Linked DNA regions of Saccharomyces cerevisiae S288C. The protein of the gene in region 1 binds, or shares a complex with, the protein of each later gene. Each region holds a gene or a part of one and is shown on either strand. Other genes may lie near its edges. A codon is read from its position in the direction of its gene.

Evidence for each region.
Region 2: the proteins of GAL3 (region 1) and GAL80 are in contact, whole or in part, in a crystal structure (PDB 3V2U), measured with the Saccharomyces cerevisiae proteins. Residues at the interface, in NP_010292.1 of Saccharomyces cerevisiae: Lys81 (codon at 3,094), Asn82 (codon at 3,091), Lys98 (codon at 3,043), Phe99 (codon at 3,040), Asp100 (codon at 3,037), Leu103 (codon at 3,028), Ala109 (codon at 3,010), Ile110 (codon at 3,007), Asp111 (codon at 3,004), Pro112 (codon at 3,001), Ser113 (codon at 2,998), Val114 (codon at 2,995), Lys122 (codon at 2,971), Tyr200 (codon at 2,737), Asn257 (codon at 2,566), Glu260 (codon at 2,557), Thr264 (codon at 2,545), Glu298 (codon at 2,443), Thr350 (codon at 2,287), Thr366 (codon at 2,239), Leu370 (codon at 2,227), Thr371 (codon at 2,224), Thr372 (codon at 2,221), Phe373 (codon at 2,218), Pro374 (codon at 2,215), Val375 (codon at 2,212), Arg376 (codon at 2,209), Phe377 (codon at 2,206), Gln378 (codon at 2,203), Val379 (codon at 2,200); in NP_013661.1 of Saccharomyces cerevisiae: Tyr37 (codon at 2,528), Leu41 (codon at 2,516), Gln42 (codon at 2,513), Leu43 (codon at 2,510), Ser44 (codon at 2,507), Ser45 (codon at 2,504), Arg66 (codon at 2,441), Leu67 (codon at 2,438), Lys68 (codon at 2,435), Ser70 (codon at 2,429), Pro156 (codon at 2,171), Arg160 (codon at 2,159), Val318 (codon at 1,685), Tyr320 (codon at 1,679), Leu339 (codon at 1,622), Tyr343 (codon at 1,610), Asp344 (codon at 1,607), Lys347 (codon at 1,598), Glu348 (codon at 1,595), Ile349 (codon at 1,592), Met350 (codon at 1,589), Glu351 (codon at 1,586), Val352 (codon at 1,583), Tyr353 (codon at 1,580), His354 (codon at 1,577), Leu355 (codon at 1,574), Arg356 (codon at 1,571), Asn357 (codon at 1,568), Tyr358 (codon at 1,565), Arg367 (codon at 1,538).

The regions. Positions count from the first base shown.
Region 1 is NC_001136.10:461,356-466,767, reverse strand, and holds GAL3 (transcriptional regulator GAL3), read right to left. Parts: upstream 3,335-5,412; coding exon 1,772-3,334; downstream 1-1,771. Other genes in the region: ATP-binding cassette transporter SNQ2, read right to left, coding at 1-849; YDR010C (uncharacterized protein), read left to right, coding at 1,385-1,717; phosphoribosylanthranilate isomerase TRP1, read right to left, coding at 4,252-4,926.
Region 2 is NC_001145.3:168,284-174,229, reverse strand, and holds GAL80 (transcription regulator GAL80), read right to left. Parts: upstream 2,637-5,946; coding exon 1,329-2,636; downstream 1-1,328. Other genes in the region: U2 snRNP complex subunit RSE1, read left to right, coding at 1-10; AIM32 (Aim32p), read right to left, coding at 156-1,091; SUR7 (Sur7p), read right to left, coding at 2,920-3,828; YML053C (uncharacterized protein), read left to right, coding at 4,476-5,114. UniProt on the Saccharomyces cerevisiae protein: This protein is a negative regulator for the gene expression of the lactose/galactose metabolic genes. It binds to GAL4 and so blocks transcriptional activation by it, in the absence of an inducing sugar.

The sequences.
Region 1 (5,412 bases):
TCTGGATGCAATGTATTCCTTTTTGGAAACGTTATTGACTCTGAGAGCAGGCGTTTTGCAGGCAATAGCGAAATCCAAAGTTTGCTTAACTGTTAAATAAGGGAAATGAACATCCAACTCACCATTGTAAATAACATCTGCTTTATATCGTTTCATCATTTCTTCTTGGGGAATACCATCATATGCTACTTCACCGGAAACACCACCGGCAAACTGATCTATTTCACCAGCTGTTACTTTTAAAAAGGAGGAACAACCAGCACCAGGCCTTCCAAGAACCAAAATCATTTCACCCGCTTCTGCCAGGGCATTGACATTGCTTATGATCTGTCTCATCTTTTGATGCCTCTTAGCCTTAATACCTTTAAAGATGGTCAACGGTAAACAAAGAATGTTACCAAAGGTAGCACCTTCTAGGGCACTCGCATCCACACCTTTAGCGCTTACGTCCTCTATGGTAACACCAGCCTTGCGGATATGGATGCCTTGCTCATCAGCGTCTCTTACAAAACTTTCAAAGATGGCATGGGCATCGAACCCATCGTCACTATCTGAATCCATATTAAAGGCACCGCTTCTCGTTGTATGACGGGATAGTGCATCTGCAAATGACTCCACTTTAGATACGACATCTGGCGCCATTTCAGACACAGTGGCACTAATCTGGCTCGCAGTGTCTCTTGCAGGTCCTGTCAGCATTTTTGTTAGTTTATCCGCCGGGGTATCGCTCTGCTCATCTTTGTCATGGGTTATGCCCGTAAATGATTCTTCTGAAGCTGCAAAAGAAGCGCTTGAGCTTCTAGCGACAGCATTATGAGAGCTATCTTGCGTGCTTTTGATATTGCTCATTGAATTCTCTTTACGTATTTTGGTAGCTGTGTTATTCTATCCACTTTTTTACTGCTTTCGGTCTTCGATATAGTTTTTCTTTTTTTATGTCTCTGCGGGTACGTCCGCTATACCTTCGTTTTCTCAGGGAGCTTGAACTCTAATCAATGGAAGGAGAAAATAATCAATGTTGAAGACGATGGATGCACTGAGAATGTAATGCACTGGTGATATAGTAACTCCTATATCCTACAGTGAGCTTTTTTTTTTTTGACCTCGCAACACTTCAACTTGAAAAACAAAAGATACAAATACACTAGGTTCGTATATATTGTTTTCGTTAGGTATTTATTTATCTACAAGCATATACAAGCATAAAAAGTGGTGAGGCGATAGCGGTGAGGGAGGGGCACTACTCATCATTTGTTTTATATGTTGATGTTGCGTAGTCACTATTAGTAATACCAATACCCAGCGGGGTTGCAGGGAATACAATGGAAAGACCTAAAGAAAATAGAAAACGGATTTAAACGGAAATGGGCGGACATTTAGTCATATGTGCGCGGAACCAGACGACTGGGAAAGGATCGAAAGGCATCCGCGGAAACTTAAAATAGCTCCGCGGATGCTAGATTTCTACGAGTCATACATAGTCTGGCGTGAAGGTAATTTTTTTTTATGTCTCCGTTCTTTTCCAAATGGGGTGATCCGTGGAGGGCGGTGCTTCTTTCGCGCCACTTCCTTGCCGTGGAAAAATGTGTACGGTTACCATGGTCACATAACCTCTGTGTGCGGAGCCACTCTGACTCGCATCAACCGGGCTATGGTTGCATCGGATGCTGGAATGGGTTCTATTGGACTCACCAACTTGTTTCTTTATAGAGTGTAAGAGGTATGAGTAAACTTTTAATATTTAAAGGTTGTTCCAAGAAGGTGTTTAGTGTTATTGTTCGTACAAACAAGTACCCAAGGCAGGCTTCGAAACTATAATTGCGTCTTTTAGTTCTTCATCTGTGAGATCCGGATATCTTACATTGTAGAATTTTTCGATTAGTGCTTTTCGTACCTGTTCCACGTTCCCATTAGCGCCACTAGGAACAAGGTGGATAGTGCAACCGCCCCAACCAGCGCCAGTGAGACGGGAGCCGAAAGAACCATTTGCTAGGGCAATCGAGCATATTTGATTGGTTTCTATGCACGAACATTCATAAAGTTTATCACAAGAGGCCTGGGACTCATTCATTAGTCGGCCAAAATCTGTAAAGAAATCTTCGTCCGTGTGAAAAGTGGCACTTGTCATCATTTTTAAAGCCTTAAGCACCCTTAAGGATTCGGAGTAAACGTGTTTAGCTCTTTGATATAGTTTCAAGACTTGGAAGCGGACGGGAAAAGTTGTCAGGTAATCTCTAGTGAACTCCTCACGTGAACAGTTTAGCGCCGTAGAGGCTTCATGTACAGTGAATCCGCTCTTTTTCCTCGAGAAAGATTCTTCTACCAATTGTAGCATCTTGAGTAAACGTTCAATACCAGTTCCGATATCTCCATTCCATGGTTGGGCTTGGTTTTCGTATCTGGCGTAGTAAGCATCCATAAAATCTCTTAGATTCCCTCTTTCTGAGTTAGAATTGTCCTTGTGAGATGGTAAGGCCACGCTGTATCTGGTCGCCAAGGCGTTGGCAGCAACTGTTACCTCTATTACTCTTAAATTGTAATTTGTAGGAGCAGTTTCGAATTTATTAGACTTTACAAGAGTATTGGCGATGACGAAACTGATTTCATGATTTTTCAATTGAGGAAACTTGAAAGGTGTGGCCTTTAGTTTTGGCCTAAACTCTACGTATAGAGCATGATCTTCTTCCCCATAAACAGACGTTGCTTGATCCATACCACCATTATTGACTCCAACATAGTGCTCAGCAACCGCTGTGATGCGGGTCAAGTCTTTTTTGGAAATATCAAAATTTTTTCCCATATTGGCTCTAATTGTGGCTAGTGCTGCCGCGCAAGTAAATGCAGATGAGAGTCCACCACCAGTAGGAATATCGCTCTGGCAAAAGATCTGCGCACCTACTAAGGGTGTATTATTAAATCTTTCCGGAGCAATTTTTTTCAAGTATGAATGTGCCACATGTAGTCCGCATTTAAAGTAATTCGACCATTCCGACACAGACGGATCTATGGCCATGTAGGAACCATCTAAAGGCAGATCAAACTTTCGCTGAGCAAATTTAGGGTCCGCATTTGTTAAGGTAATGGATGGATTTTTTTCGTCTAAAATTTTAACTGCGCAAAGCATATCCACATCAATGGCTAATGGCAAAACTGAAAAATCGCAATAATCTATATGCTCACCAATCAGATTTACTCTGCCAGGAGACCTAGCGATAAAATCAGGTTTGACATGGTATGTTTGGAAAAATGCATCTACAACCGCTAAATGTTTTTGTTCGAAAGACCTTGGTAAATCTCTGACCGGAGAACTGAATATTGGAACGTTTGTATTCATACTATGTGTTGCCCTACCTTTTTACTTTTATTTTCTCTTTTTGCACTCCTGATTCCGCTAATAGGAAGTATGAATACCTGGGGTTGTCAATGTGGTAACAAAGGTGTTGCCTCACTTGTCGCTTATGATGATTATATACGTTTCAGTAAAAATTTTACTGCCTATGTGTTGCAGGCGGTCAATCAATTGCATAAAAGACCGTGTGATGGCTTGGCATGGCGATTTCATTCTTTCAAGAATTCCACATGTTAAAATAGTGAAGGAGCATGTTCGGCACACAGTGGACCGAACGTGGGGTAAGTGCACTAGGGTCCGGTTAAACGGATCTCGCATTGATGAGGCAACGCTAATTATCAACATATAGATTGTTATCTATCTGCATGAACACGAAATCTTTACTTGACGACTTGAGGCTGATGGTGTTTATGCAAAGAAACCACTGTGTTTAATATGTGTCACTGTTTGATATTACTGTCAGCGTAGAAGATAATAGTAAAAGCGGTTAATAAGTGTATTTGAGATAAGTGTGATAAAGTTTTTACAGCGAAAAGACGATAAATACAAGAAAATGATTACGAGGATACGGAGAGAGGTATGTACATGTGTATTTATATACTAAGCTGCCGGCGGTTGTTTGCAAGACCGAGAAAAGGCTAGCAAGAATCGGGTCATTGTAGCGTATGCGCCTGTGAACATTCTCTTCAACAAGTTTGATTCCATTGCGGTGAAATGGTAAAAGTCAACCCCCTGCGATGTATATTTTCCTGTACAATCAATCAAAAAGCCAAATGATTTAGCATTATCTTTACATCTTGTTATTTTACAGATTTTATGTTTAGATCTTTTATGCTTGCTTTTCAAAAGGCCTGCAGGCAAGTGCACAAACAATACTTAAATAAATACTACTCAGTAATAACCTATTTCTTAGCATTTTTGACGAAATTTGCTATTTTGTTAGAGTCTTTTACACCATTTGTCTCCACACCTCCGCTTACATCAACACCAATAACGCCATTTAATCTAAGCGCATCACCAACATTTTCTGGCGTCAGTCCACCAGCTAACATAAAATGTAAGCTTTCGGGGCTCTCTTGCCTTCCAACCCAGTCAGAAATCGAGTTCCAATCCAAAAGTTCACCTGTCCCACCTGCTTCTGAATCAAACAAGGGAATAAACGAATGAGGTTTCTGTGAAGCTGCACTGAGTAGTATGTTGCAGTCTTTTGGAAATACGAGTCTTTTAATAACTGGCAAACCGAGGAACTCTTGGTATTCTTGCCACGACTCATCTCCATGCAGTTGGACGATATCAATGCCGTAATCATTGACCAGAGCCAAAACATCCTCCTTAGGTTGATTACGAAACACGCCAACCAAGTATTTCGGAGTGCCTGAACTATTTTTATATGCTTTTACAAGACTTGAAATTTTCCTTGCAATAACCGGGTCAATTGTTCTCTTTCTATTGGGCACACATATAATACCCAGCAAGTCAGCATCGGAATCTAGAGCACATTCTGCGGCCTCTGTGCTCTGCAAGCCGCAAACTTTCACCAATGGACCAGAACTACCTGTGAAATTAATAACAGACATACTCCAAGCTGCCTTTGTGTGCTTAATCACGTATACTCACGTGCTCAATAGTCACCAATGCCCTCCCTCTTGGCCCTCTCCTTTTCTTTTTTCGACCGAATTCTTAATCGGCAAAAAAAGAAAAGCTCCGGATCAAGATTGTACGTAAGGTGACAAGCTATTTTTCAATAAAGAATATCTTCCACTACTGCCATCTGGCGTCATAACTGCAAAGTACACATATATTACGATGCTGTTCTATTAAATGCTTCCTATATTATATATATAGTAATGTCGTTAACCGTTGATTTTTACTGATTGGTCTCTGCCGTGCGGGTGAGCGGCGCGTCCAGACGGGCGGGTGCACGTTTCTTTTTCTGACCATTTCCCTGTCAGCTCTTTTAGATCGGGGCTGCCGTTTGAAAAGTTTTATCATCGCCAGACATGCCATAAGGAATATCTCCACCGCCTCTAACTGTCCCTAACTCGGTCTCTTTCTTATAACTA
Region 2 (5,946 bases), on another chromosome or scaffold:
TTACATGTAATGATTTTACAGTAATAATACCAAGTATAAAGGCGTGTTAATGTATTTTCTTAATAAATATATGTACAAGGAATATATGATAGCTTTAAATATAAGAAATATAAAATTTCACCTCATCTTTATTTCTGTTTTAAAAGGAAACCGTTTTAATTCATCGATATGCCACCTCTGTACATTTCGTCGATGATTTTACCGTTTTCCAAGTTTTCACATAACAGCTTCAAGTTGTGTGGGTAAACTTTACCAAACCATAATGAATCCAGCTTGTTTTGCATCTTTTCTCTGCCGAATAGTTTATAGAAAATGACATTACCAGCAAAAATATGACCCCCAATATGAGAAATTAAGGCTAGATTATTCTCAGGAAAAAGCTTTTCATCTTGAAATGCTGCAATTATGTCGGGTCCCATTTCTCCACACTTAGCATCTCTCTTATAATGCCCACAGACTAAGTTCCAATCTCTTAGAAAAGTTTCACCCTGAAACCTTGTAAGCTTTCTATGATGCACTTCATGAACCTGTTGGGAAGCCTTGGCCTTACCGCTTAAATAATCCTGGAAGGATAGCTTTGGTGCTTGAATAGCTCCTTCATCTAAAAAAGATGCAAATTCCTCGATGTCCGTTTCCTTAATTACATAAAGCTTCATGTCAGGAATAACAAAAAAATAAAGCCATTCATCGTGTTGTTTTGGCCTTGGAATAAATTCATTTTGCAAATGCACCGCATTTATTAGTATTCCTGGAGAACCACCTAAATGGGAGCGCAATTTACTAATGGCATTATATGGCCGATTTGTATTAGTATCCAAATTATGATTCCATGCTACCTTCCATGGTTGAGCAAACCTATCACCCGGTGATAACAGCAAAACATGCTTATTGTAATTGGGCGTTCTATGAGGAAGCTTGATATGAGGATCTAATGGATCAGTTTTTGAAGGCAGCCTTGCGTTTATTTCTTGGCAATAACAGTTTGTTTGATCATTTTGAGCACGGGTATGAAGATCAGGAACGCTAATATGTTTGAAGCTATGATGGAAGGATGCCCGCTGCTGCAAAGTTTTGACAGTTATACGTAGCATTTTATTTTTTGTGTCAGTGCACCTTCTCTCACTTTTCTACTAAGGAAATTTGATATTTCAAATGTAGTATGCTAATAAATAAGAACACCCGCATGCACGAAAAAGGGAAATTTAAAACTAGTTAGGTAAACAAAGTTCAGAACAAGAAATGATATGGTTGTTTTACATAGATATATACTCAGTATTCGTTTTTATAACGTTCGCTGCACTGGGGGCCAAGCACAGGGCAAGATGCTTTTATAAACTATAATGCGAGATATTGCTAACGTTTAATGTGGAGCCCATCATGTTACTTTTATAAACGCTCTCGATTAACCTGTGTAATATCAGAGCATCCATCAAGGTGGGAAAGCCTTCGAAATCGAAACCTTGCATTACAAATTGTGAGGGTAATTCAGGAATTTTCTTTGTATTGAAGTGGAAGTCAGAGATAGATTGATACAGTCGATGAATATTACCCACAATGGCATTATAATTTCGTAAATGATATACTTCCATGATTTCTTTACCTGCATCATACCCCGGGTCTAAAGGAGCTTGTTGTCCATTGGCTAGCGGGAAGTCGTTTGCTCTAGTTCCACTGTAGTAAAGGACCAGATTTGAAATTTCTGCGAAGCCGGCATCGCCTTCAAGTTTCAAATCTCCCTTGGTACCGTGAATGTCAATGACCAAATTTTTGGTAAATTTTTTGGTAGGTTTGCCACCTTTGAAACTGCATGACACTGGAACATTGCCATTTAACAATGTGCCTTGGAATAAAAGATGATCCGGTACTGTCTTTGGGACTCGCTGGCCCAATCGGTTACCACGCTCATCTATCAGCTCTTGCTCTGGAATATTATTGAAAACCATTGCATTTATCCTGGAAAAGTACGAACTTGTCATGTATTGTAAAATATCGATTGTGTGACCAAATGTTGTGGTTACCAGATCTACACCGTTCCCGATTTCATAGATGTATTTTGGTGATTTAACAGGCCTTTCGTAGCCGTACCAACCGCCATTTCCAGCAATCTCGATCGAATTAATGTCGCCGATATAGCCTTGAGATATTAATTCTTTTGCTCTCAAAATATATGGTGATTTACGACCTTGTAAAGAGATGATGGTTTGAACCCCACGTTCAGCAGCAGCCTTATAAATGGATTCGGCTTGATCTAGTGAACATGCAAGGGCCCATTCTACGAAAAGATACTTGAGGTTCGGATTATTTTTGGAGAATTCCAAGAGAGGCATAACAACTTCATAATGGCTGGCCACTTGGATAGCTATCACTATCATATCTATAGTGGAAGATGATGCAAATGACTCTAAAGTGGGAAAAGCAGTGGCATTACTCAATTTTAGACGCTGAATGGTGGCAATAGAAGTCTCAATTTTTGGACTGTATAAGGCAGTGATTTGAAATTGTGACGATAGTTGCAGTATGGCGGGGTAATGTGTCTTGATTGCCCATCCTTTGGCTGCGTTGAGACCGACGAATCCGACTCTTATGGGAGCTGCATTAGGCACGGTTGAGACCGAAGATCTCTTGTTGTAGTCCATGACGGGAGTGGAAAGAACGGGAAACCAACTATCGAGATTGTATACGCTGGTCGGCAAGGACCAGCAGTGATATGTGATGTATATATATTCAGGTTCAAAAAAAAAAGTTATGAGCTTTTGGTTATTATGAATGTAGCAGACATTTTGAGGTCGTTCGGGCGAGAGTGCGCCGGTAAATGAAGAAAATATAGGATATTATTAATATTAGAATTAAACTATTATATTGCAGGGGAGAGAAGAAAGGGGTATAAATATATATTACAAAGCGGAAAACTTGCGCCATTTAAACAGAGACATCGTCCGGGCGCTCGTGTGATTTTCTTATAGTGAAGAAGTTAATACCTTTAGGTTGGTTTTCCGTAGCAGCAGTGGCAGTGACCGGATTAGCATTGGAAGAAGGCCCCACTATGCTTGCACTTTGTTGCATGTCTTCAGGTCCAGTGGCAGTCAATATTGGGTCAGTTGCTTGCTCCTTCTCTCTATGGAAGGGATTCCATCTGGAGGAGGTTCTGTATCTTGAATTGTCGATGGAGTAAGTAGAGGCCAACCTTGCCCTAACAGACCAGAAGACCAGCAGGATAAATTCCACGATACATAAAAAGACACTTGCCCAAGCCATACCCATCATAGAGGCACCCAATTGGGCACTACGATGATCGTCATGGAAAGCATTCTTTGCCATGGCAGAGGCGGCCGTTTGCAAGACAACGGCTGCCGTATTGAAGACAAACCCAAAAGACATGAGGATAAGCACCATCTCTGAAAGCATCTTCGAGCACCAAGTCAAAACGTAAAGGATAAACGACACACCTACAAAGGCAAGCGCAATCCAAAAGAAACAAAATGAAAATCTAGTCAGGTAGTAAAAAGCGTCTCTTTTGGAAATAAACTGGTGAGGGACATTGATGTGTGTGTTGAAGTTATCTACTGGGGAAATGGGGTATGCAGGTGCCAAATTGCTTGTGCAGGTATCCGACCCGTCTTTATCCTGTAGACAGGCGCCCCAAAACGTCCAACGTGTTTCATCCCCAGCATTAGGTATGCCTGTTGTATTGCCCTGCACCCAATAGAATCTGTTCACGGGGTAATGGTCCGTGGCACCAGATATAATCATCAAAATTAACAGCAAGGTATTACCTGCTAAAAACAGCAACACTACCAGACGTAGTACTATATTCCAGACCTTAACCATAGTATTGTGCGGATATGCGTTACTATACTTAGTCTCTTCAATATCTACGGGAGTCAAGAGGTATTAATAAATCTTCTTGCGTGGGTGTTGCTTGTTTGTTTGCTGTTTAAGTATCGAGGAGATGTTGAAAAATGTATCGGGGGCCTCGAGGCGACACCTGCTAATGTTTACAATTTTCCCGATTGGGGTGCTAGAGGCATACAGTGGGCTACATGGCACAGCACGGCAGTGCAGAGTGAGAAAATATGACTTCACGCTCGAGGCGAGGCCACGCTTTCGAAGCTTCGAATGCCACTACCTAGACCATTGCTGTTTTGTACCTTCACGGTCCCATTAGAGACATTTTACTTAATGCAAGATTGCCATATCCGTTGTCATGGTACCAAACAGGGTAATAATTTCTAGAAATCATGATACACGTATGACATCTGGGTAACCTAATCCATCTGGGTAACCGATTTTTCTCTCCCTTTGCTTTCTCTTTACCACTCAGCTGACTTTATTATTTTTTTTATATTTTTCATTTTGACAAAATTATATAGTTAGGAAGAATACAATAGGACTGCGACAGAAACAGATAAGGGCTCTTTTTTCTTGGGGTTGGCTGCTTTTATTCATTAATTTAAGACTCAAGTGTGCTGCGTGAAATGCTCTCATACTATGAACACAATACTGCGTTCCAAACAAACAATTGCAATTCCGGTAGCAATGCCGCCACTACATACAACAGCGACGCCAATAATGATACGATCATGAATAAAAGAAAAAATGACCATTTCGAGTTTGATACACACACTTTCTACCAAAGATCGAAGAGAACAAAACGAGATTCTGTAAGTACAAAGTTTTCGGTCGGTTCCGGGTGTGCTAATCTTAATAACAACAACAACAACATCATCATCAACAACAACAACAACAACAATAATAATAATAATAACCATAATCATAATAACAGCAATAATACTGCAACCTACAATAATATTCATTATAAAAAAAATATCGAAATATGTCCCCTGAAACCGGTTAGTATGCACCACACTATGAACAGCCGCTTACTGAACGAATCTGAATTTTATTCTGAAACAGAAGAGTACATGATTCATGGTTATTTCGGTAACACTAATCGCGACATAACAGGCACGAGTCCTACTGGAAGTGCTAGTATTATACAACACCAGTATCATCTTCTACCATCCCAAAGTATAATTGCATCACAAGCACCCGGTACTGCCATGGCCGCGTTGACTAACAACAATATCGCTAACGATTACATGGATATAGATTAATAAGAAAAAAAATAACTGCAGGAAATGAAAATGAAAATGAAATGGAAAAAAAAAAAAGAAAATTTAACCTATTTAAAATAATACAATGTATTACATATTTATCACGACTGTTTACGTATCTCTACTCAATTTACTTTAAAGGCTAAGTGCTCATTCTGGCTACCTTACATCTATCTATAAAACGTTCAAAACTCAAACCTCACTAGGCCTGGAGAAAAAGGGAAAAAAAATATCTCCCGGGGGCGAGTCGAACGCCCGATCTCAAGATTTCGTAGTGGTAAATTACAGTCTTGCGCCTTAAACCAACTTGGCTACCGAGAGTGACTATTTTGATTTACTTCAAAATAAAGTGTCAGTACTACCCTTATTATATGAATGTTGTCGTAACCTCTCGGATTATATGTAGACAATGTTATGGATATATAGAATATAAGTGTTGGAATAAAAATCAACTATCATCTACTAACTAGTATTTACGTTACTAGTATATTATCATATACGGTGTTAGAAGATGACGCAAATGATGAGAAATAGTCATCTAAATTAGTGGAAGCTGAAACGCAAGGATTGATAATGTAATAGGATCAATGAATATTAACATATAAAATGATGATAATAATATTTATAGAATTGTGTAGAATTGCAGATTCCCTTTTATGGATTCCTAAATCCTCGAGGAGAACTTCTAGTACATTCTACATACCTAATATTATTGCCTTATTAAAAATGGAATCCCAACGATTATCTCAAAATTCACCCATTCTTCAATAAGAATTTACGAAATAAATCCGGTAACCATAAATCCACAGAGCCTCTTATATTCACTCTGTTC